Linked DNA regions of Arabidopsis thaliana. The protein of the gene in region 1 interacts with the protein of each later gene in a pairwise test. Each region holds a gene or a part of one and is shown on either strand. Other genes may lie near its edges. The genes, in order: NAP1;1, AT3G06590, PNM1 and AT1G30880.

Region 1 (6,712 bases):
CCTCCGGTGGCGTGAGAAATTCCGTCGGATAATCAAGAGATGACTCGGCGGCGAAGAAGCTATTGCCGCTTGTGTTGCTGAACTCGTATGAATCAGAGAATCTAGCGGTGGTGGTGGTGGTGGTGGTGGCCATCATCACGAGATCGGCGGGAAACAAAACAGAGTCAAGAGTCTAATAACAGTGGAATTTCAAGAAACAACGACCGAATCGTTTCATTAGCAAATAAAAAAACGTATCATCAACAACGGTCTTTCTCAAGCACCTTTATTAGTAAATTTCTTGGAAACTAGATAGGTTTCTTAAAACGGAATATATTACGTCAAATACTCTGAATGGTAACGAAGCGGTCCCCTCTTCGCATGTCTCCAATTTACCAAACAGTGTTGCGACTTTTGAGTTTGTTTTTCATAACACCAAACACAAACAAGTGTCTCAAGTTTATTTAGCTAGCTTTTTTTTCCCCTCATTTAGCTCTAATGATGCATTAAACTTCTTAAGTAGTATGTGATTAGTCCAAATTGTGGATGTTCGGAACCTCACTTTCTTTGTGTTTTCCTTCTACAATAATTTAAATTATAATTAGTGTTGAACAAGCGGAGGCATTTAGTCAAATTACTCATCTTAAAGGTGAACTGATTTCGACCGATTTAGACTTGACTAATATAATATGGTCATAGTCCAATTATTCATCTTTTGTAGTCTTACACAACAAAATGGTTACCATTGAAAATCAAAGGACGGTGAACAAAAGAATAATGATCATTCCCACTACCCATTACTATCTAAATGGTTATTAAAATCTCTTTCGTCGACAAAGTTTAGGTAGGGGATGAAGTAGTGAATGCAGAGACTAGGGATGATGATGCTTGATTCATAAATTAAATACCAAGGTATATTATTAAAGTGCTTTAGAGAAAATAAACACACCAATAGAAAAACGAACGAAACTCCTACAAGATGAATTTCACTTTTAAAAATCCCAAAACCTTTTCTCAATCCTCATTCTTGATGAACAGAGAATGACCTGAATTATATTTTCACGCAATCCTTTTATGTCTGGTAGAGCGTAGTAAAAGATTACTGTTGCTTGCATTCGGGTGGCCTCTCATCTTGTTTACCTTCACCAACTATCTGAGATCTCCCTCCCTTCTGCAGTCCAAGAGGAAAAAAAAATTAAGCAGATGATTCTCACATTTATCACAAACATAGACACTGATTGCTAGTTTGCTACTATAGTAATAAAATGAATTCATGAGAATGGTTCTATCTCGTACTGCCCATGCCATGATTAAAGAGCTTGTTTAGTCTCTGCTGTGTCATTCATGTATCCTTCTCAGAGTCTTCTACGTAACTACCTATTTACTGATTCATACTTTTTAGGATTGCTCAGTTACTTTCAGCAATCTGTATGATTCATGGGCCTCTAGAGCCTACATTTCCGATATTAATTTCTATTTTCATCACAATGCTCAGCCTGAAACTTCTTGTGTTTGGTTATTTGAATGTTGGAGTTCCAAAATCAAATAAACTTTAGTTCTGAAAGGTTACATACCTTGTTGCCGATTGATGGCTGCAAAAAAAAATATTAAGCGATTTCAAAGGATTAGTAAAAAACTAACGTGGCATGAAGAAAAAAAAAAAAAAAAGAAACAACTATACTTGGGGCACTTTATACCTTCTTTTTGGTCTTGCTTTCTTCTTCATCCTCATCATCATCGTCCTCCTCATCCTCTTCGTCTTCCTCATCTTCATCCTCATCAATGTCATCTTCCTCATCGTCATCTATTTCAAAATCCTCTGCTTCCATAGCCTCACCAGTAAACCATGAGACAGCACGAGGAATAATCTTTTCCCGAATAGTAGATCTGCAGAAAGTAAAAAGTACTTGTGATCAGATAATAATGAAAGGGTAACCACCTTGATTGCAGTGATAAAGTAGTCCCATGACTCAAAAGCAAACCCATAAAATCAACAGAGAAAGTGTGTTTAGAAAAAGACGAACCCGATGTCATAATCTTGTTCCATCAGGTTTTGAAGATCCTCAGCCTGCATCAAAGAACGAGAAAGAGTTACTAAATACATTAACTAAATGATGACAGGTTTTTCTAACAATCGTTATCTTACTCTTTCCTCGTCGATATCTTCATCTTCATCCGGAACTTCTGGAGGACTAAAGAAGTTGAAGAAGCTTTCACAATCTTCGAGTTTGGTGATTGGTTTAGTATTCTTTGAACCTTTCTTAGGCTTCTTCTTGAGAATCTTCTGAGTTAGACACTTTCCAGGATACCAATCAATTTCTGTCCTGAAAATGAATGGTGAAAGAATAAGAATCCATTTGCAATATAAGCGAAGAAAAAAAATAAGCAGCTCAATGCAATCAGCTAATAAGCAGAATATACTTAAAAGTATACAACAATTGCAAGAGAGTATAAGTAGTTACCCCATAGCCTTCTCAAGCAGTGGCTCATCTTCATCAATCATATGATAAGACTTTGTCAAGACAGTGTTCTTAAAATACGGATTCGTGTCAAAGAAAAACTCAAGTTTGAATCCTTTAGGCTCTTCAATCTTGCACCACTTAATATCTTTAAGATATTTGAGAGCCCCTTCATCACGCTCTGTGACCTGACATAAATGACAATAAGTTATGCTCATATTCCATGGTTATGATTGGAGTGTTTATAAAACGAACACCAAAACTGCATATAGGCTACCTCCTCGGAAATAACATCGTTATTTTTCAGAGCTGTCAGCCAGAAACTTGGAACTCCTTTCTCTGCAATGAAAAACAGAGAAAAATGTTAAATTGTTTTTGTCTTTCCAAAAAGATTAACAACAAACAAAGAAGACATAGTGCTCATGAAGTTACCTTCTGCAGTTTTCTCCTCTCCTTGGTCCACCTTGGTATCATCCTCTGGAGCCAGTTCAACTTCAGTAGTGCCATTCACAATCTCATAACGCTGTGCCATTACAAGATACCAAGTAGAATTCATTAAGATGCACATAGAAAACTAACACTGCTGCAGATAAGTAAACATAAGCAAAAAGAGTATACACAGATCTACATTGAGTTTAGTAAAATGGTTTGTAAAACTTTCTCATTAACAATTACCTTGACATACAAAGGCTGATACAGCGTTTGATACTTGGCTTCAAGAATAGCTCTCTCCTCACGGAATTTTGCCTCTAGTTCATCATGTTGGCTCTGCGTGGAAAGAAGTCATCAGTAATCAAAACGCAACACCTTACTTTTGAAACTTTAAATTCAGATAAGCAGGGAGAAAACTCACACAAAACAAAACAAACCCCATTAAACGATATATAGCACACATAGTTTGGTAAAATGTGAAAGAAATTTCGCTAACCTGTATATCCCTCAAGGCATCAACGCGCTTTCTCACATTGGGAGTCAGATTCTCGAGCACATCAGAACGCTGACCAGCCAGATTCTGCAGCTTGTTCTGTGAATTAATAACAATGTATTAACAACTCATAAACTATCATTGTACTAGAAGAATGACATTGAAACCAAAACACTAAACACCAAGACACGGCTTATAGTATCTAAACAATCAGAGGAAAGTAACTCAACATCCTCCATATCTTTCAATAGCAAATGCTCACGGGACAGTTTACAGAAGGGGAAAAAAACTCACCTTTAGAGCATTGACAAGGCCAGCTCGATCCTCGTCCTTAAGAGCTGCAAAAAAACAGTAAACAAAAGGAACACCAGTCAGATAACAGAGGAAATTAGGGTTAAAGCAGCTCTGGCTTAAGAGGCGGAGAAAGAGATAAGAGTAATCGTGAGTAGGAGTATTTTACCAGCAGTAAGATCGGAGACGTTGAAGCTATCCTTGTCGTTGCTCATCTTCTGAGGATTTGGTGAAGAGAGAGATTTTGAAGAAGAAGAAGCAGAAGAGACTAGGGACAAGGGTTTTGGGGAGGCGACTCGTAACCCTTAAATCCTCTTTGTTTTTTTGTTTTTTTCTCTCCCTCCTTTTCACACCAAAATTATAACAAATGCCATTTTAGTTTTTTCTCTTTTTATATATACTTTTCTTTCTCTAAAAATTGATGTTTAATGTTTTAAAAAGCAAAATTAAGTTTATTGAATTAAATAACATGCAAAACTTTACATACATATATATATGGATAATGAGAACTGACTTATATATAGATAATTAAAGTTTATTTATGAATTCAATCAATTATAAATATATATAACTAATATATAAACTTTAATTATCTATATAATTAAAATTTTGCATGTAATTATATTAATTATCTATATACTTATATATATATATATACACTTATATATATTTGATTCTTCACCAAATACAGTACAGGTTAGTGAACTTTAATGGGATCAAATAGAAGATTTCTGAATCTGTTAGTACTAAGGCCCATCCCAAGAATGAGCCTTCCAAGCCCAATACACTGATTACTTCTTTTGTTCACATACACTGTACATACTAATTAAAAACAAAAAACAGTCCACAACAAAAACAAAAAAACAGTCCACAACAAAAAGTCATATCCCAAAAGGCACAAAGATCTTTAGTTTGGTTTAAGCTCATCCCGAGTTCAAACGAATTAAACGTACTCTAATCTAGATTAGCTCATCACGACATTTTCAATTTGAAGTTTCAACCTTTTATACGTCTGACCAGAAACACAATAAAGAAGCCTCACGCGTAGCATTTTTTTTTAACCAGAAAACCATGAGACAAATTCAACCTAATCAGATAACTGTAAATCATTTCATTCATCCTATTAAAAGCAAAGGTGAAAAGCTTTTTGTACCTCCACGACTCCCACTTAAGAGAAACATTTTGTAGAGCTTTCAAGTCACGCGTAGCAAACACACCTGGTAAGTGGTCAATCTTTTTATATCATATAGCCATCATAAGAGTATCATTAATAGTAGTTTCTTAGCATAATCTTAATAGTTCTTATGAATATTTTTATAATTGATTTTGAAAATTTTGAAGTTAAGAATTTAGTTAAGAGATTGAAATTTTGGCAATATGCAATGGTGGACTCTTAACTTGAGTTCTTAAAAAAAAAATTGGAAAAAAAGTAGAAACATTATAATTTTAAAAAACTTAATAATTATTACAACTCAAAAAATTTGAAACATACATAACATAAAATTTTAAACAAATATGACAAACAATTAGATTTAATACTTAATTTATCTAAGAATTAAGATTAATTGAATTAAAACATTATATTTAATACCTAATTTATCTAAGAATTAACCTAAGAAACATTAGATTTGGCTCTTATATAAGAGTCATTTTTAACAATTAATTGAATTATAACATTAAATTTAAGACCTACTTTATCTAAGAACTAACCTTATAAACTATGAATAATGATGGTCTAAGCGCGCTTGTTGTTGAAACTCTCAAATAAACCGGATAATTTTAAAACCAGGTTTAGTTTAGTTGGTAGATTCGGCTCAAATAGTAGTATTTTTGTGGATTTAAAGATGCTCAGCATGTATATACATATGTGTTCTATAGATGTTTTACACATTTTTTCTATTTTACTATTCTGCTTGCCATAATCATTAGATTGTTTGGTTGAACCGAAGCATAGAAACCAAACCGAACATAGCACACAGCAACAAAACCGGAATCATTCAGAGGTAAATAATTTTTTTACATTACCCGCAACTGCAAGGAAAGAGGAAAAAAAAAAAGACGCAAACTTTGAGAAAGACATCCTCATCGTTTTCTGTCCATCGAAGCTCTTTTTTTTTTTTTTTTTTTTTATCTTCGTATTCAATTCTTGAGAGGAGAGAGAGAGAGAGAAGCATCCCAGAAAACGACATTCTGTTCATATGGAGTTTTTTCACCAGATCGAGAGCACGAAGAAGATGATTACTGGGTTTTGATTTAGTCGGCGAAAAATCCGTAATCTCATTGTTCGTGATCTCTGGGTTGTTTTTCTGGATTGCTGGTGCGGCTGATTCTAGTCAGGATTGTTTTTGGGGTCCCTTTCGCTCTATTTGAATCTGCGTCTGGGTTGTTAAGATTGTACAAGGGGTTTCGTGGTTATTTATGGAACCTCGTGTGGGGAACAAGTTTCGTCTCGGCCGAAAGATCGGTAGTGGTTCGTTTGGAGAGATCTATCTCGGTTCGTCTCTCTCTCACTTTCTAGTTTTTAATTTTATGGATTATCGAATTCGTCACATTATCTCTAACATTGTTGTTAACCTGTGATTTTCCAGGTACTAATATTCATACGAATGAAGAACTGGCTATTAAGCTTGTGAGTTCTTCAGTCATCCCATTTTAATAATTTGATGATCAAAAAGTTTATGGATTTATAAGTAACATTATCACAATATGTTTAGTTTGATCAAGTTCAGTATGTTGAAAAGCTGAGATTTTGATTCTCTTTGTTTTTGTTTTCCCAGGAAAATGTGAAGACAAAACATCCACAGCTGCTCTATGAATCGAAGTTATACAGGATTCTACAAGGGGGAAGTAATGATTCTTATCTTCTGAATGAGATATTGATTTCTGATAATGTAAAGTTTGTGTTACTTATGACCTTTCTTTTGCCTTAACTTTGGTAGCTGGTGTTCCAAATGTCAAATGGTTTGGTGTTGAAGGGGACTATAATGTTTTGGTGATGGATCTACTCGGACCAAGTCTTGAAGATCTCTTCAATTTTTGTAGCAGGAAACTTTCATTG
Region 2 (6,016 bases), on another chromosome or scaffold:
ACTTCTGATGAAGCGAAACACATAGAAGTTGGAAATATCATTTGAAAAAAGAAAAAACTACACAGGTTAGTGTTTTCATATTTGCCTCTGAAAAGTGTTGTTAAGTTGATGTTAAATTTACCAAAAGACTATTAATCATTTCATATTAGCAATCCAAAATAGACCCGTTGAAAAAACAATGATTGAGCATCATCATCTGTTAATCTAATCAATACTTCCCTTTTTCTTCCTTTAAAAAGAAACTAGTCCTTCTTCTTCCATTGTCTGTCGTTCACTTAGTTTATTTGGTGTCTAGAATTAGGGAGGCAATCTCTGTGCCACCTTCATCATACTTAATAGTTAGTTTTCCTTTCCTTATCAACTTTTTTCATTAATATAATAAGAAAAAACTCATTACATCCGAGATACATAATGATTTGCAAATAAATTTGAAAACCTTAGATAGCTGGAATTATGATTTACAGTAGTAAATTTTCATAGTAACAAATTTGAACTTCCAATCCGAAATATATTTATTTCTATTAATGGAAGATAACAATTACAGCCAGCAACCTTTGTGATACATGTTTTTTTTGTTGTTGTTGTTGAAGTAGAGCCCATGAGAATTACGCAAATCGCAGATTCGAATAGTGGTTTCTTTGACTCAGTTCGTAAAACAGATAATTCATTAGGTTGCTTTGTTCTTCACCAACAAATTTTCTGCTTGATTCTAAAGTATAAATTGAGAAAATTTAAGTATCTAAATCGAAAATATATTCTTAAATTCGAAGTAGATAAACTATTTTATTGTAAGTGACACTTTAGTGAATAATTGGATATGTTGTTTCTTATCATTAATTTGTCATGTGGAATCATTCTAGCTTATAACTTTCTAAGGTACAGAGAATATGCCACGTTACTGACACAATTATTAACCCTTAGCCCTTAGGTTAAATGAATACTATTATCTATGAAGCATTGCGCATTGCGCTCTGTTTCTAACATCCTTTCCACCCGCCTAAAAACATCTTAATACAGTATATATACCATTGTGGTACTTTTATGTCTAACATAAACTAAGATAGGTATTTTCCATTTTAACTGCTGATCAAACTCAACATAGTGAACAGTACAAACAAAAATCAAACTAACAGTAACTTTTCTAGAAAATTAGTTTGAACGTAGCTAGCTTTATTTATATATGAATTAACCCAATGGAGAAGTTCAGAAGCTCCTTTTTTCAGCAGGATATATGAATAAAATGACGCCACTCCCTTATACTTTACCCAACAATCTATTAATCTTATATCTACTTATACATATACACAAAATTTAATGAAATTTTATTCATACATATTGATAGATACACATACAAAACTTTTTTTTGATAAAATACAGGAGTTAATTTCAGTGATCTTTTCTTTACAGGGAAAGAAAAAAAAGCCGTAAAGAGAGGCAGTGCCACTAACCCTACATCGCACATGCATTTCGTTTGGTATATTACTTTATGCGTAAAGTAGTATTTTAAATACAATTCCAATATTTACGAAATCATTGCACTGAATACAAAATCCAAAGTTTTGAGTTTTTGGCCCCTCTCTTTTTGCCCTGTCAGTCCATTAAACGACCACTATAAGTCGTAAATGGATTTCTCCAATAGTAATATGACACGTCATCCTTTCGTTTGAATCTACCTTCCTCCTCCATTCCACCAAAGTATCGGCCTTTATACAAGTTTGTTTGTTTTCTCTTTTCGTAAACATCTTTAGATATCAATAAGCTAATTTAGTAATTAAGATTGTACCCTAAATTGATTGGAAACTATCGTTATGGATGCTCTACCCACATTAGGATCTTTGTAGCATTTCTATTATGTATTTTACTCTCTATTTAGATTATGTCTACAAAAGATCGAAAACTCGTGATTGTAAGAAATTTTGTATATAAATTTCTTTCTAAAATCTCTGTCAAGAGGGTAAGTTTAAAAAAATAATTGTGAACTAATCAACGTGGAACAAAACTTTTTAAGTATAATCATAATTCATAAACATTGCTTCAAGTCACAATGATGTCTCTGTCTCTCATTATTCCAAAACCATTAGAGGTTATAGAGCCAGTTAATTATAACTTATCAATTCCACTAGTGTTGAGAATGAAATTATTTGTTTCTTGGTGGTATTCACGAATTCTCTTTATCATGCATTACAAATGCCACTTTCGTATCTGGCTAAAACAACAAATACTAAAAAACAAATTGACAAAACGACGCCGCTTATTAACTGCTACATCTAAAACGGGGCCGTTTGTTAACTGCTACGTCTCGTGATAGTTGATACCTCTCTCCCTTTATATATCTTCCTCTTCTTCTCCCTTCCATTATTCTCCACAATTTCATAACTTTCTTCCGCTCAACTTCAGATAAATTCGGATTCTGTAGCTCTTTCAATACGACTGCGGAGATCAGAGCCAATTATTTGGTTATGGCGTCTCTGATCTCAGATATTGAACCGCCGACGAGTACTACTTCAGATCTCGTTCGGAGAAAGAAGAGATCCTCTGCTTCATCCGCCGCATCGTCTCGTTCAAGCGCATCTTCCGTCTCCGGTGAGATTCACGCGCGATGGCGATCGGAGAAGCAACAACGGATCTACTCAGCCAAACTGTTCCAAGCGCTCCAACAAGTCCGCCTCAACTCTTCCGCCTCAACATCATCATCTCCAACGGCTCAGAAACGAGGAAAGGCCGTCCGTGAAGCCGCCGATCGAGCTCTTGCCGTTTCCGCTCGGGGAAGAACACTCTGGAGCAGAGCGATCTTAGCTAATCGGATCAAACTGAAATTTCGTAAACAGAGACGTCCTCGAGCTACGATGGCGATTCCGGCCATGACTACGGTGGTTAGTAGCAGCAGCAACAGATCGAGAAAACGGAGAGTGTCGGTGTTGAGATTGAATAAGAAGAGTATACCGGATGTTAACCGGAAAGTACGTGTTCTAGGCCGGTTAGTTCCCGGTTGCGGTAAACAATCCGTACCGGTGATTCTAGAAGAAGCAACTGATTATATTCAGGCTCTGGAGATGCAAGTGAGAGCCATGAACTCTTTAGTTCAGCTTCTCTCCTCCTACGGCTCAGCTCCTCCACCGATTTGATGAGGTTAAAATCGTCTTTTTAATTCTACCATCTCTCGATCTTTCACAGCTTATGTGTATATAGAAGATTCGGTTTGATTATAATCTGTAACTACTCTTCCCAACCGCTGATTCTTCTCTGCTACAAGTAAAAGTAAATTTTGAACCGAGTCTTCCCATTTTTACGATCCTCAAGTCTAAATTAAGTATATGATTGATTAATAAAGTCTTTACCATTAGGGTTCAAATCGTAGTTGGATTATTTGATTTAGATTGATGAATTCGTTGTTGATCAAAAAAAAAATAAGATTGATGAATTCGTTATTGGAGTTAGTGGGAAAATGGGTTCCTCTTTTAACCTCATAGTATGTGATAACTAAACCAATATGGAACTTTTGATGTACTTTTAGTTCATTCAATATGGCTTTGTACTATATCATCTTATGTACTATATGAAATTTCAACATGAAATAGATTTGTACTGCAATAAAGTGGAAAGAAAATAATTTCCCATTTAGAATTTTAAAATACATTATAGTAGATGTAGGAAGATAATGGGTTAACTTTAGTTTTGATTATGGTAGCATGTGATGATGCATTAGAGAATGAATGGAATGATACATTCAAATTCATTGAATTGAATGATGACTGATGAGATTGATCTGTCACTCAATCATCTACTCGCTTTATTGCCCCTCCTTTGAATCCCATTTTTGATACTTATAGGTTGTTTGTCTTCTTTTTCTTTTCTTTTCCTTATTTCACAAGAAATATAAAGGAAAAAAAGAAGAAAAAAGATTAAATTAGCTAATAATTCCCTGTTACTAAATAAGTTTTCTCAAACACTAATCTGCAGTTCTGCACGTACTGTATATCCTTCAATATTCATCACGAAGCAAAACTGAATAACCTGTAGTTAAAATTGACTTAACAGGAGTTTGATTCATTAGCTTAATTAATATACGAATTTCTGTGATAGGGATATGATTTAAGAACACTGGAGTATGACTAGGCGACAACAAGAGACAAGTGACGACAAAAGCAAAAAATATTTAAAACATAGAGAGAAGTGACCTTAAAAGTATGAGGAGGCACATGGGAGTGGCCATGCCTTTGTCCTCTTGTTTCTTTTTAAGCCTTCTCTTATTAACTTGCACGACAACTCTTTTCATCACATATTTCATAAGTTATATTATTATTGCCAAAAGGGACAAACTATTAGAGAAAATAAACCGCAACATTGTAGAAGATTGGATTAAAACTCGCCAACACACTATTAGAGAAACTTGCCCAGATAAAATTATGTCCATGTCGAACACAGTTATAACCAAGGAGCCTAATTCCCAAAAAATGATTTTTATATTTGGAAACCATCCATTGCAGATACTCCTGGAGGTTTCTCCTAGTCTTCAGTGCCGAAGATTTCACGACAAAAGAAGACTTGAAAATCTCGATACTCTTTTGCGGAACTTTCCCACCGCGACACAAAGAGATCACTCCACAGAGATATGAGGCAGCTTTGAGTCCTTTAGACGCGGCTTTTGCAAACATTCGATCCCTTTCTCTTCATCAACAATATTACTGAATAGGTAAAAGCACTTCACAATTCCTTCACGAGCCACTGCTTCCGTGTTTCCGCTCTCTCTGCATCTCTTGAGAAAACTCTAGCTTTAGTTATAGGTCATCGTTTGCGGTTTTGATTTCGTCGAGGCAGACGTGTTCGAGAACTTGAGGGTCGTTGCAGAGATTATGTAATGATTTGCATACGAGGCTGAAGTTGAACAAGCTTGAGTGAAGAAAGAGCCACGCGTGGCAAGATCTCCTTCACAACCACTTCTTCTGGGAGAGACTCCATTTTATAGTGATTTGAGAAATGATATTTTAATTTAGGGTTTCAACTTAGACGTTTGCTTATTAAATTGTGTGAATAAATAAATATATATATATATATATATATATATATATATATATATATCATTAATAAATAAATAAACGATAAGAGTAACCTTAAAAATCTAGTTGAACCCTAAACCCTATGGCTAATATATACAATGTAATATATTATTCCTCTAATCATCTTTTAGAAATTTTTTATTATTTTTAATTTACACATAAATCAATATCTTTTTCAGATATAGTTTTATCTACATTGTATGTAATACCTCCATGTTGCTACACGTTAACACTTGCATATTTGTTACTCAATCTAATTAAGCAGGAATTAAAAACAACGGTTAACCGGAAAACTTTTACTATTTATCCATTCAGTATTATCTTATAGCTCAAATTACTTTTAGTTTTTACATATAGGATATAACTCTCACACACGTAAAATACGATTAAATTTAAATTCAAACTAGGACACTTATCTAATCTAGTGTTATCTGAATTCATAGAGTGTTAGAAGAATTAGGAAACGTTTTTTAATCAATAACATCATTTTTGGGAATAATATGTTTATCAAATATAAACCTACCCAAAGAAAAAAAAAATCACCAACAAATATAGTACGAATTAAGATTCATAAACGTGTTCCGGAATCCAAAAGATCGAAAGTTTTGGATAAGTAAGATATTCACAAATATTCATTTTTAAAATTCAAAATATTCGATAAATACAAGCGATCTTCCGGAACAGATCTTAAATACGATAAACAATTAATATATTTTAGAAATAAGATCGGTGGCAATTAATAATTATGCTCTAGCGAAGACGTTTCGTGATAACTGTGAACATTAGAGGTTAAGTGACGACAAGTGATCGAGAGAGACAGAGAGAGCCAAAAGGAGAAACTACAAAAATGGCGAAACCGGAAGAAGTATCAGTCCCGATCTTCACATCTCTTGAGCCTGTCTACGGCGAAGGATCTCTGCTCCAAGAAGCTACACAACGATTCGATGTTTTGAAGGCCA
Region 3 (5,228 bases), on another chromosome or scaffold:
GCCCACTTTATTTCATTTTCACATAATTCACTCACTTAGGCATGCAATTCTTTTTGTTTTATCCTTTTTCTTTTTCAATATTTTTTCTTTTCCCGCAAAAATTATTATGTATGCTACATTTTTTAATCATATTTTATGTAGGCCAGTATAAAAACCGTAATAAAAAAATTTCAAATAAACATTTTACCAATTCTACATTTATATCGACATGGAGATCTATCTGAACCTCATTTCTCAATATAGACTGTATAATATATATACAGTTTTGCTAGATTTTTCACGGTACGAAATAATTTTGTTTTCTAGTTATAGTTAGTTAATTGGAGTTGTTGTAATTTCCATATAGTCTACATGTTTAGTTTGATGTCGATATAAATATTAATGCCTTTTATGTCATTTCTTGAGTGTTGGATACAAATAACGATCATTCTCCTAACTCCAAACAAGTAATTAGGAGATTAGGTTCGAAATATATGTATTAGGAGATTAGTTTAGCACACATCCCTGACGATATATGTATTTGGAAGCTTGTTAGGAACCGACATTCTCATAGCCTATGCTGAGCATCTGACTAACCCAAAATGATGACGACGTGAGATATATTCGTAAGCAAATTATGTGGAGGACCGGGACATAAGCGCACAAAGGGAACACGCTATTGGGCTGTAAAAATAAAGGAGAAAGAGCTCACAAATTTTCTAAAGAAGACAAAATCAATATGAGCCCCCGGCGAGGATCGAACTCGCGGCCTTTCGCTTACGAAGCGAACGCAATACCACTATGCTACGGAGGCATCCGAAATTATAAAGGTATTTTTAATATATAATTCGGTTCGTTTTCCATATTTTCCAACTACTGCGTGACGATAAACTAAAAGCTTAAGTGATGGGTTCAGGGTTCTTCATGTACTGATGTATAAGACTCATAATATTCATGTGCTGATGTTCACATGAAGATAAATATTATGAAAAGAACCTTTGTGACTTCATCACGATATATAAGACTCACATGCAACCAAAGAAAATGATCAAGTTAGAAGAAGACTCACAAATTTCAAAATAATTTTTTACTTTTGCTACGGAGGTCTCTGGAGGCCAGGGAGACACGGTTTCATGAGTCATGATTGTTATCTTTTCAAAAATATAGATATTATTAATATGTTATTATTTTCTCCTATAGTGTTACCGGCTATAAAATAAAAAACTTGAGAGTTCAGACGTATTAGAATGTGTGATTTCCATCATCCAGACATAATCTGTTCACCATGTTTGCTGATTTGAATTTCAATATTCGTAATTATAAATACATAAATTTTTTAAGAAGATTAACCTTGTAACTATTTGTTTATATGTCTATGTCCATGTAAAGTATCATATTGTCAACTAAATAAAGATGAAACACAGAAAAGTGAATGTTGTAATGCTATTATTGTATAATTGTAGTTTTTGAGTACAACATTTAGCAAATCAACTTTATTTTTGTTAAAAGACTTATATATATATATATATATATATATATATATATATATTAAAATTCTATTTTCTAACAACTTTTAAACAATGATTTCTTATGAAAGAAGGAAAATGTGGCATGTATGGAATTTTTGGCAAGCAGTAATCTCTGGTATGTAAATATGCCTTGCAACAATAAGGACTAATCACCCATCGCCTATTAGATACGGATTGAGTAGTTTCTATAACGCATATTGGAAATTTCATCACAGATGAATAACATTTGAATATACGAGAAAATACTGGAAAACTATTAAGTAACGGATATGGATCAGTAAAAATAGACGAAAATGGTGGCCTTGCATTTACGGAGACTATAATGCATATGACCATTAAAAGTGAAATCACATTTTTAATAGACATACTGAGATATTGAGAAAAAATAAAGAAAAAAAACTTTGTTAGTATAACAAAATATATGTTTAGTAGTTGATTGATGAACAACAATAAAATCCTTGCCTATTTAAATGGAAGGGAACAAAACTATGGTATTAATTATCTTGATTAACGTCTTTGAACTCTTTTAATAGCACTTATTAATTAGCAGTTTATAAAATTGAATAGTGTTAAAACTTCTAGAAACGAACAACATTTAAGTAACAAATATAGGAATATGTTAATTCTATGAGGACTCTATGTATTAATTAAATTAAAAAAAAAATGAATAATAAAATTATAACATGATTATTATTAGAGTAGGTGGAGGTGCGGGGAATCGAACCCCGTGCCTCTCGCATGCGAAGCGAGCGCTCTACCATATGAGCTACACCCCCATTTTGAGTAAAAATGAAACAGATACATAATAAATTCAAATTAAACAATCAAAAGGGGCTTAAGCAAATCAAGGCCCGAAACGAAGCCCAATTACTCAAGATGTTCCTAAATCCTGAACTAGGGTTTTATTCTATTTCCCTTTCTCACTAACTCTCTAGTTACCAATTTTCTCTCACTAAATCAGAAATGCCGCCGTCGTTACCGTCTCTGCAACTCCGACGGCTTCTCCTCCGTAGCTTCATTTCCTCCTCCTCCGTCAATACTCTTCAATCTCAGCCCCGTATCATTTCTTCCAAGCCGTTGTTTTCTCCTCTTCCCCCTTCCCGTTCCTCTATATTCTCAACATTTCCTTCTAGATTCTTCTCATCTGAAACGAATGCGGAATCGGAATCTTTGGATTCGAATGAGATCGCTCTCTCTTTCTCGAAGGAGCTCACCGGGAATCCAGACGCCGAGTCTCAAACCATTTCGCAGAGATTCAATCTCAGCTTCTCCCACATCACGCCTAATCCCGATTTGATTCTCCAAACTCTTAATCTCTCACCGGAAGCTGGTCGCGCGGCTCTAGGTTTTAACGAGTGGTTAGATTCGAACTCTAACTTCTCTCACACCGATGAAACAGTTTCGTTTTTCGTCGATTACTTTGGCCGTCGGAAAGATTTCAAAGGAATGCTAGAGATCATCTCGAAATACAAAGGTATCGCCGGAGGTAAAACACTAGAATCGGCGATTGATAGGCTTGTTAGAGCTGGTAGACCTAAGCAGGTCACTGATTTCTTCGAGAAAATGGAGAATGATTATGGTTTGAAACGTGATAAAGAATCACTTACCTTGGTTGTGAAGAAGCTTTGTGAGAAAGGACACGCGAGTATCGCAGAGAAGATGGTGAAGAACACTGCTAATGAAATATTTCCTGATGAGAATATATGTGATTTGTTGATTAGTGGATGGTGTATTGCTGAGAAACTCGATGAAGCAACTAGGTTAGCTGGTGAAATGTCTAGAGGAGGATTTGAGATAGGAACCAAAGCGTATAACATGATGCTTGATTGTGTTTGTAAGCTTTGTAGGAAGAAAGATCCTTTTAAGCTTCAACCTGAAGTAGAGAAGGTTTTGCTGGAGATGGAGTTTCGTGGTGTACCTAGAAACACAGAGACTTTCAATGTGTTGATTAACAATCTTTGTAAAATCAGGAGAACTGAAGAAGCAATGACATTGTTTGGTAGGATGGGTGAATGGGGTTGTCAACCAGATGCTGAGACTTATCTTGTTCTGATTAGGAGTTTGTATCAAGCAGCGAGGATCGGTGAAGGGGACGAAATGATCGATAAGATGAAATCAGCGGGATATGGTGAGCTTTTGAATAAGAAAGAGTATTACGGGTTTCTCAAGATATTGTGTGGGATTGAGAGGCTTGAGCATGCGATGAGTGTGTTTAAGAGCATGAAAGCTAATGGATGCAAACCTGGGATCAAGACTTATGATTTGTTGATGGGGAAAATGTGTGCGAATAACCAGCTGACTAGAGCTAATGGTTTGTATAAAGAAGCGGCTAAGAAAGGAATCGCTGTTAGCCCTAAGGAATACAGAGTAGATCCACGGTTTATGAAAAAGAAGACCAAGGAAGTGGATAGCAATGTTAAGAAGAGGGAGACTTTGCCTGAGAAAACCGCGAGGAAGAAGAAACGGCTCAAGCAGATCAATATGAGTTTTGTTAAGAAACCGCACAATAAGATGAGACGGAGAATGTGATGCTGATGAATCTTCAACATCTGATAGAATTTTCTAAAGATTATTGTCTTTGTTCTTTCCTTTTTAAGATATTGTCAAGAGTACTCATCATTTTGCTTGATCATGAGCAAATTGTCCCAATAATCTTTTGTTTTGTCTCAGTGTAACGTTTACTAAGAGTTCATGCTTGGCTCAAGAATCGGAGGTAAAATTAGGTTTCTTGGTTAATTGAATGCTTCTCTTGTACATCCAAGTTGAGTTTAATTATAACGGATCAAGTCAGCTAATCTTTGTTAATTATCTAATATATTAAAGTTAAAACAAGATCCCGTGTATAAAGGCATATCAACGTGCAAATGTATACTAGTCAAAGTCGTCGCCTTGATCTATATTCTTACAAAGTCTCTCTCTGTCTCTGTTCACATCGGAACCACAAGAATGGAGTCTCTCTTCTCCACGATGATTGTCCTGCTCTTGGTTTCTTTTTCCTGTCTCATTTCTACAGGTAAATTTCCTTGTACACAATCACCTGCATTTGTCTTTTCTAAAACTTCAAAAGTCTTTTATGTTCTTTAATCTGCAGAAGCTCTCACCAGCAACTATGGAAACATCACAGTCAAATGGGATCTCTTGAACTGGACGCCTGATGGCTACGTTGTAAGTTCTTCTTCTTCGTGTCTCACAAAATCTCAGAGTCTGCTTTAACTTCAAAATTGACTCTATCTCAGGCAGTGGTTACAGCCTACAATTACCAGAAGCAACGTTCGATTCCAGGATGGAAAATGAGCTGGAGAGGGACCAAGAAAGAAGTGATCTGGAACATGTTGGGTGCAAAAACGACAGGGCAAGGAGGTTGTTCCATGTTCAAAGGAAATATCCCGCAGTCCTGCGTTCGTAAGCCAACAGTTGTCGATTTGCTTCCCGGAACTCCTTTCAATCAGCAGATCGCTAATTGCTGCAAAAGCGGTGTCTTAAAACCTGGTTCAGAAAGTGCATTCCAGTTATCTGTTGGTAGCGCTGGTAACTCGGTTAAGACTGCTCGGATGCCGGCAAACTTCATGTTCACGGCACCTAAACAACAGTACATATGTGGACCGAGTAAGAACGTTAGACCAACGAGGTTTACAACCGCCGACAAAAGGAGAATAACTGCAGCCCTAAGTAAGTTTCACAACAAAAACAAACCTCGACAAATCTGTAATTCTGATTTTG
Region 4 (4,387 bases), on another chromosome or scaffold:
CTTACCTGGAGCGGGAGGATACGGAGGCGATGACGATGATGATACAAAGTCATTGTTCCCTTTGGACAACCTATTATCGTTGAATTATTATGATAGGATTTGTCCAGATTTTGAGAAAATCGTTGTTACGAAAGTGAGGGAATGGACTAAGAGTGACTCTTCCCTTGGTCCCGCCCTCCTCCGCCTTATCTTCCACGATTGTGGCGTCACGGTATTGCAATTAATCGTTCAATTATATATAGCCAATGTTTTGATTCATATATGATTTACATTGTTCTAAAAATGGGTTTCACTATTACTCTATTAGAGATTAGAATTGTTCTTCCGTCTATCTAGACCATACTTGGAACATTGATAGTATATAGATATAAGTTTCTTAATATTGAAGACGGACTTGCGCACTTTATTCTGTGTATAAACGCATCTGAGTGTTTTGCGCATATCTAATATAGTTATGCATTTTAAAAGATAACAACTTGACATTTTTGTACATGAATTAACACAACTTTCAGGGATGTGATGCGTCTGTTCTTCTAGACTACGAAGGGACAGAGAGAAGATCTCCGGCTAGCAAAACACTAAGAGGCTTCGAGCTAATTGACGATATCAAGTCCGAGATGGAGAAATCATGCCCCGGCAAAGTATCCTGCGCCGACATCCTAACATCAGCCAGCCGTGCCGCCACCGTCCAACTTGGTGGTCCTTACTGGCCCAACGTCTACGGTCGTCGTGACTCCAAACACTCTTACGCTAGAGACGTAGAGAAAGTCCCTTCAGGCCGTCGTGATGTTACCGCCCTTCTCGAAACGTTTCAGTCATACGGTCTCAACGTCCTCGACCTAGTTGTCCTTTCCGGGGCCCACACCATCGGAAAAGCGTCCTGTGGCACCATCCAGTCGAGGCTTTACAACTACAACGCAACCAGTGGTTCAGATCCTTCGATTGACGCAAAATACGCTGATTACTTGCAACGCAGGTGTCGCTGGGCCTCTGAGACCGTCGATCTCGACCCTGTAACTCCAGCAGTGTTCGATAATCAGTACTACATTAATCTTCAGAAGCATATGGGAGTTTTGTCGACTGATCAGGAGCTTGTTAAGGACCCAAGGACTGCTCCGCTTGTAAAGACTTTCGCAGAGCAATCACCTCAGATATTCAGACAGCAGTTTGCTGTGTCCATGGCTAAGCTGGTCAACGTTGGAGTTCTCACTGGTGAAGATCGTGTCGGAGAGATCAGGAAGGTTTGCAGCAAATCTAACTCCAGAGCTTACTAAATTATAATCATCATCCCTCATGAGAAGGATCTTTTGTTTCTTGAAATAATTTCTTGTTTGGTTTTTGAGCTCTTTTCTATTGCAATTTTGTAATTTGTTGTATGAACAAGAACAAAAACTGTGAATTATTTTCGTTGCAACTTCGATTTACATGAGTTCTACACTTACCGTCACTATTTGATCAAGACAATACTTAATATCAGTCCAACATGATCAATTTATGTCAAAGGGTTCATGATGTTAATGGTAATAACCCTAAACGTTAACTCTAAATCAAGTTGTGATGATAGCTTTTGGTGCAAGAAAAATGAAAGATGGGAGACACAATTCAGACGCGATCACGTTTTTAGGGTTTCTATAGTACTGAAACTCATGGAAAAAACACAGTACAAAAGATGCTATATTCTAAGACATTGAAGAACCCCAAAATTAAGAGAGAACATAAATTATGCAAGTAGAAAACAAACCCAGTAGAAGAAAGCCAAGACCAGTTTTAGTTTCGTTTGCCTCGAAGGACACCCTTACTACGACGATTCTTCATCCCCAGCTTAAACTTCTTCTTCAACTTCTTCCCAATAGGTTTTAGCGACTTGTTTTTCTTCTCATCATCCATTTCCTCATCTACAAGCAAACAACAATAGTATCCCAAAACAGAACAAACCCTTAATACCAAAACTTTCAAAGATATACTTGTAGATGCACACAAAATTCAATATAAAGAAACCAAACAAAGCTTTTAGAGCGATACGTTTCTCTTAGAGTAACAACCTTCCCAAGAGTAATGAACTAACAAGCTCCTTCAAAGATTTCAACTAAAATGAATGATTCAGTTAAATTTCAGATTCTAAAGCTTAGCTTAAATTCGATTCTTCAAGCGTTACCTTATCTAAAACCAAATCGTACAAAATCAAAGAGGCAAATTTAGAGGAGGCATACCACTATCGTTGGCGATTGTAGTGGAGGCAGATGCAGACTCAGAGGAAGGCGTCGCAACTTCCATAAACGGAGAAACTGGGGCTTGACGAACTGGTAACTTCGGAGCAGCGAGTGCGGCTTCAATAGCGGCGGATTTGGCGTCTTCTCTCGTTAGAGTGAATGATTCCTTCTCCACTATTTCTCTTCTTATTGCTCTCAATCTCTTCACCCTCTTGCATCTCATTGATTTCGCCATTGTTGTGCTTGGGGAGATTTGAAATCAGGGTTTTGAGGCAAAAGGGGTTTTAATTTCTGCGTCGGACTTCTTTTATAAAGTCTAAACCTAATTGAGGAACAAAGGAATTGCTCCGGTTCTGTTTGGTTACGAGTTTAAATGTATCCTATCCAAGTTTAGAGCCTATTCGGAAAATTATTGGCCCAATTTAGGCCCAAATAAATAGAGAAGAACGCTTCGAATGGAAAACCCGATAATACCCTTCTTCGTCTGCGTGCAGATCACACTGTTTGATTTCTGAGGAGAATCCATTGTTTCCATTTGAAGAAAACTCTAACTTTCTCGTTGAAGCTTTGAGCTCTCTACCTCTTTATCTCCGGGTTAGTTTTGATTTGGTGTGGATCGGTAGTGGAATTTTGCTCTTCGTCTTGCTATTTCGTATGCGTTGTTGTTTCTCGATTAGCGAATCAGATCTTTGTTCTTTTGTTAGATTTGATAAATTTCGATAGATTTTAGGTTTGGATTGATTGTGTTATTGAACTTGAATGCTTCTGGTTGAATCATAGATCTAGTTTTGGCTTTGCTTTGTTATGCATTGTCGTGATTGAAATTCGAAAAAGCAATGGAAGTGATTACGAATTGAGATTATGACTTTAGAATCGATATTAGGATCTAAGAAGATTCTGTGGAAATTGAAATTGAAATTTTGAAGAAGATTCTGTGGAATCTAAGAAGTAAATGTTGATAATACTGTTTGGTTTCAAGAGTTAAGAGTTTAGAAGTTGGAGATGTGTATTGACTGTGGTTGGTTTGGTTTGAGATAAAGATGTGATTGTTTTGGTTTGATGGCAGAGATGTATAATAACATGGGACCTCAACCGGGGATGCCAAGACCTCCAGGAAACCCTGAGCCTGGTCCATTTGGTAATCCTTTCACTGGAGCTGGCTCGGGTTTTATCCGTGGTGGTTTGGGAGCGTATGGGGAGAGAATTTTAGGATCGAGCTCTGAGTATGTTCAGAGCAATGTAAGTGAACTCTTTATGATTCCATATCACACGTAATATCTGGTTTTCATGGTTTTGAACTTGTTGTTATCGCAATGGAATAGATAAGCCGGTACTTCTCTGATCCGCAATACTATTTCCAAGTGAATGATCAATATGTGAGGAATAAACTGAAGGTTGTTCTGTTTCCTTTCCTACACCGGGTAAGCTAGTCTTCTCTTTTCTTCTTCTGTTTGGGACTTTCTCTTATTATCAGCCATTTAATTGTACTATTGTGGGTTCTGCTTCAAACCCTCAGGGACACTGGACCAGAATATCTGAACCAGTTGGTGGTAGGCTCTCATACAAGCCTCCAATATATGATATCAATGCTCCAGACTTGTACATTCCCTTTATGGCATTTGGTACCTACGTTGTTCTTGCTGGTCTTTCATTGGGACTTAATGGAAAGTAAGTGTTGTGCTTCGTCTCCCTCCCTATGATTCCCTCTAAATAGTTTTCTGTCTTAGGTCTTGAATGATTGTTGTGGACAGAGTGATTATTAATCCATTTCAAACCTGATTGGTCTCTAGGTTTACACCGGAAGCTTTGAATTGGCTGTTTGTGAAAGGATTGGTTGGTTGGTTTTTGCAAGTAATGCTCCTGAAAGTAACACTTCTATCACTTGGTAGTGGAGAGGCACCATTACTAGATATTGTGGCATACGGAGGGTATGCTTTTGCTGGTCTGTGTCTTGCGGGCTTTGCCAAAATAATGTGGGGATACTCGTACTACGCGTTGATGCCATGGACTTGTCTATGCACTGGGATTTTCTTGGTGAAGACGATGAAACGTGTTCTGTTTGCTGAAGTAAGAAGTTACGATTCGAGCAAACATCACTACCTTCTTCTGTTTTTAGCCTTGGTCCAGTTCCCACTTTTGATATGGCTTGGTAACATTAGTGTTAATTGGCTTCTTTG

Evidence for each region.
Region 2: the proteins of NAP1;1 (region 1) and AT3G06590 interact in binary tests that used the Arabidopsis thaliana proteins (3 or more experiments, as listed by UniProt).
Region 3: the proteins of NAP1;1 (region 1) and PNM1 interact in binary tests that used the Arabidopsis thaliana proteins (3 or more experiments, as listed by UniProt).
Region 4: the proteins of NAP1;1 (region 1) and AT1G30880 interact in a two-hybrid assay, tested with the Arabidopsis thaliana proteins (2 studies listed by BioGRID).

What each region holds. Positions count from the first base shown.
Region 1 is NC_003075.7:13,229,869-13,236,580, reverse strand, and holds NAP1;1 (nucleosome assembly protein1;1), read right to left. Parts: upstream 4,014-6,712; 5' UTR 3,870-4,013; coding exon 3,824-3,869; intron 3,702-3,823; coding exon 3,658-3,701; intron 3,463-3,657; coding exon 3,367-3,462; intron 3,207-3,366; coding exon 3,114-3,206; intron 2,962-3,113; coding exon 2,871-2,961; intron 2,778-2,870; coding exon 2,716-2,777; intron 2,627-2,715; coding exon 2,442-2,626; intron 2,304-2,441; coding exon 2,126-2,303; intron 2,048-2,125; coding exon 2,004-2,047; intron 1,867-2,003; coding exon 1,677-1,866; intron 1,572-1,676; coding exon 1,554-1,571; coding exon of another isoform or gene 1,521-1,553; exon of another isoform or gene 1,151-1,520; coding exon 1,079-1,150; 3' UTR 673-1,078; downstream 1-672. Other genes in the region: AT4G26120 (Ankyrin repeat family protein / BTB/POZ domain-containing protein), read right to left, coding at 1-136; CK1 (casein kinase 1), read left to right, coding at 6,073-6,148, 6,243-6,283, 6,432-6,501, 6,594-6,712. UniProt on the Arabidopsis thaliana protein: May modulate chromatin structure by regulation of nucleosome assembly/disassembly. Contributes to the regulation of cell proliferation and cell expansion. May function in nucleotide excision repair (NER). Involved in somatic homologous recombination.
Region 2 is NC_003074.8:2,051,756-2,057,771, reverse strand, and holds AT3G06590 (basic helix-loop-helix (bHLH) DNA-binding superfamily protein), read left to right. Parts: upstream 1-2,105; 5' UTR 2,106-2,459; coding exon 2,460-3,125; 3' UTR 3,126-3,129; exon of another isoform or gene 3,130-4,083; 3' UTR 4,084-4,693; exon of another isoform or gene 4,694-4,772; 3' UTR 4,773-5,025; downstream 5,026-6,016. Other genes in the region: GALK (Mevalonate/galactokinase family protein), read left to right, coding at 5,905-6,016. UniProt on the Arabidopsis thaliana protein: bHLH transcription factor that binds DNA on specific sequence 5'-CANNTG-3' in target gene promoters. Negatively regulates brassinosteroid signaling.
Region 3 is NC_003076.8:24,527,232-24,532,459, reverse strand, and holds PNM1 (Pentatricopeptide repeat (PPR) superfamily protein), read left to right. Parts: upstream 1-2,427; 5' UTR 2,428-2,471; coding exon 2,472-4,037; 3' UTR 4,038-4,371; downstream 4,372-5,228. Other genes in the region: AT5G60964 (ECA1 gametogenesis related family protein), read right to left, coding at 1,536-1,874; COBL5 (COBRA-like protein 5 precursor), read left to right, coding at 4,455-4,521, 4,600-4,673, 4,745-5,177. UniProt on the Arabidopsis thaliana protein: RNA-binding protein that functions in both mitochondrion and nucleus. In mitochondrion, it is associated with polysomes and may play a role in translation. Required during embryogenesis.
Region 4 is NC_003070.9:10,991,612-10,995,998, forward strand, and holds AT1G30880 (uncharacterized protein), read right to left. Parts: upstream 2,538-4,387; 5' UTR 2,446-2,537; coding exon 2,211-2,445; intron 2,087-2,210; coding exon of another isoform or gene 2,061-2,086; exon of another isoform or gene 1,896-2,060; coding exon 1,768-1,895; 3' UTR 1,391-1,767; downstream 1-1,390. Other genes in the region: AT1G30870 (Peroxidase superfamily protein), read left to right, coding at 1-211, 513-1,274; AT1G30890 (Integral membrane HRF1 family protein), read left to right, coding at 3,279-3,449, 3,533-3,631, 3,727-3,878, 4,001-4,387.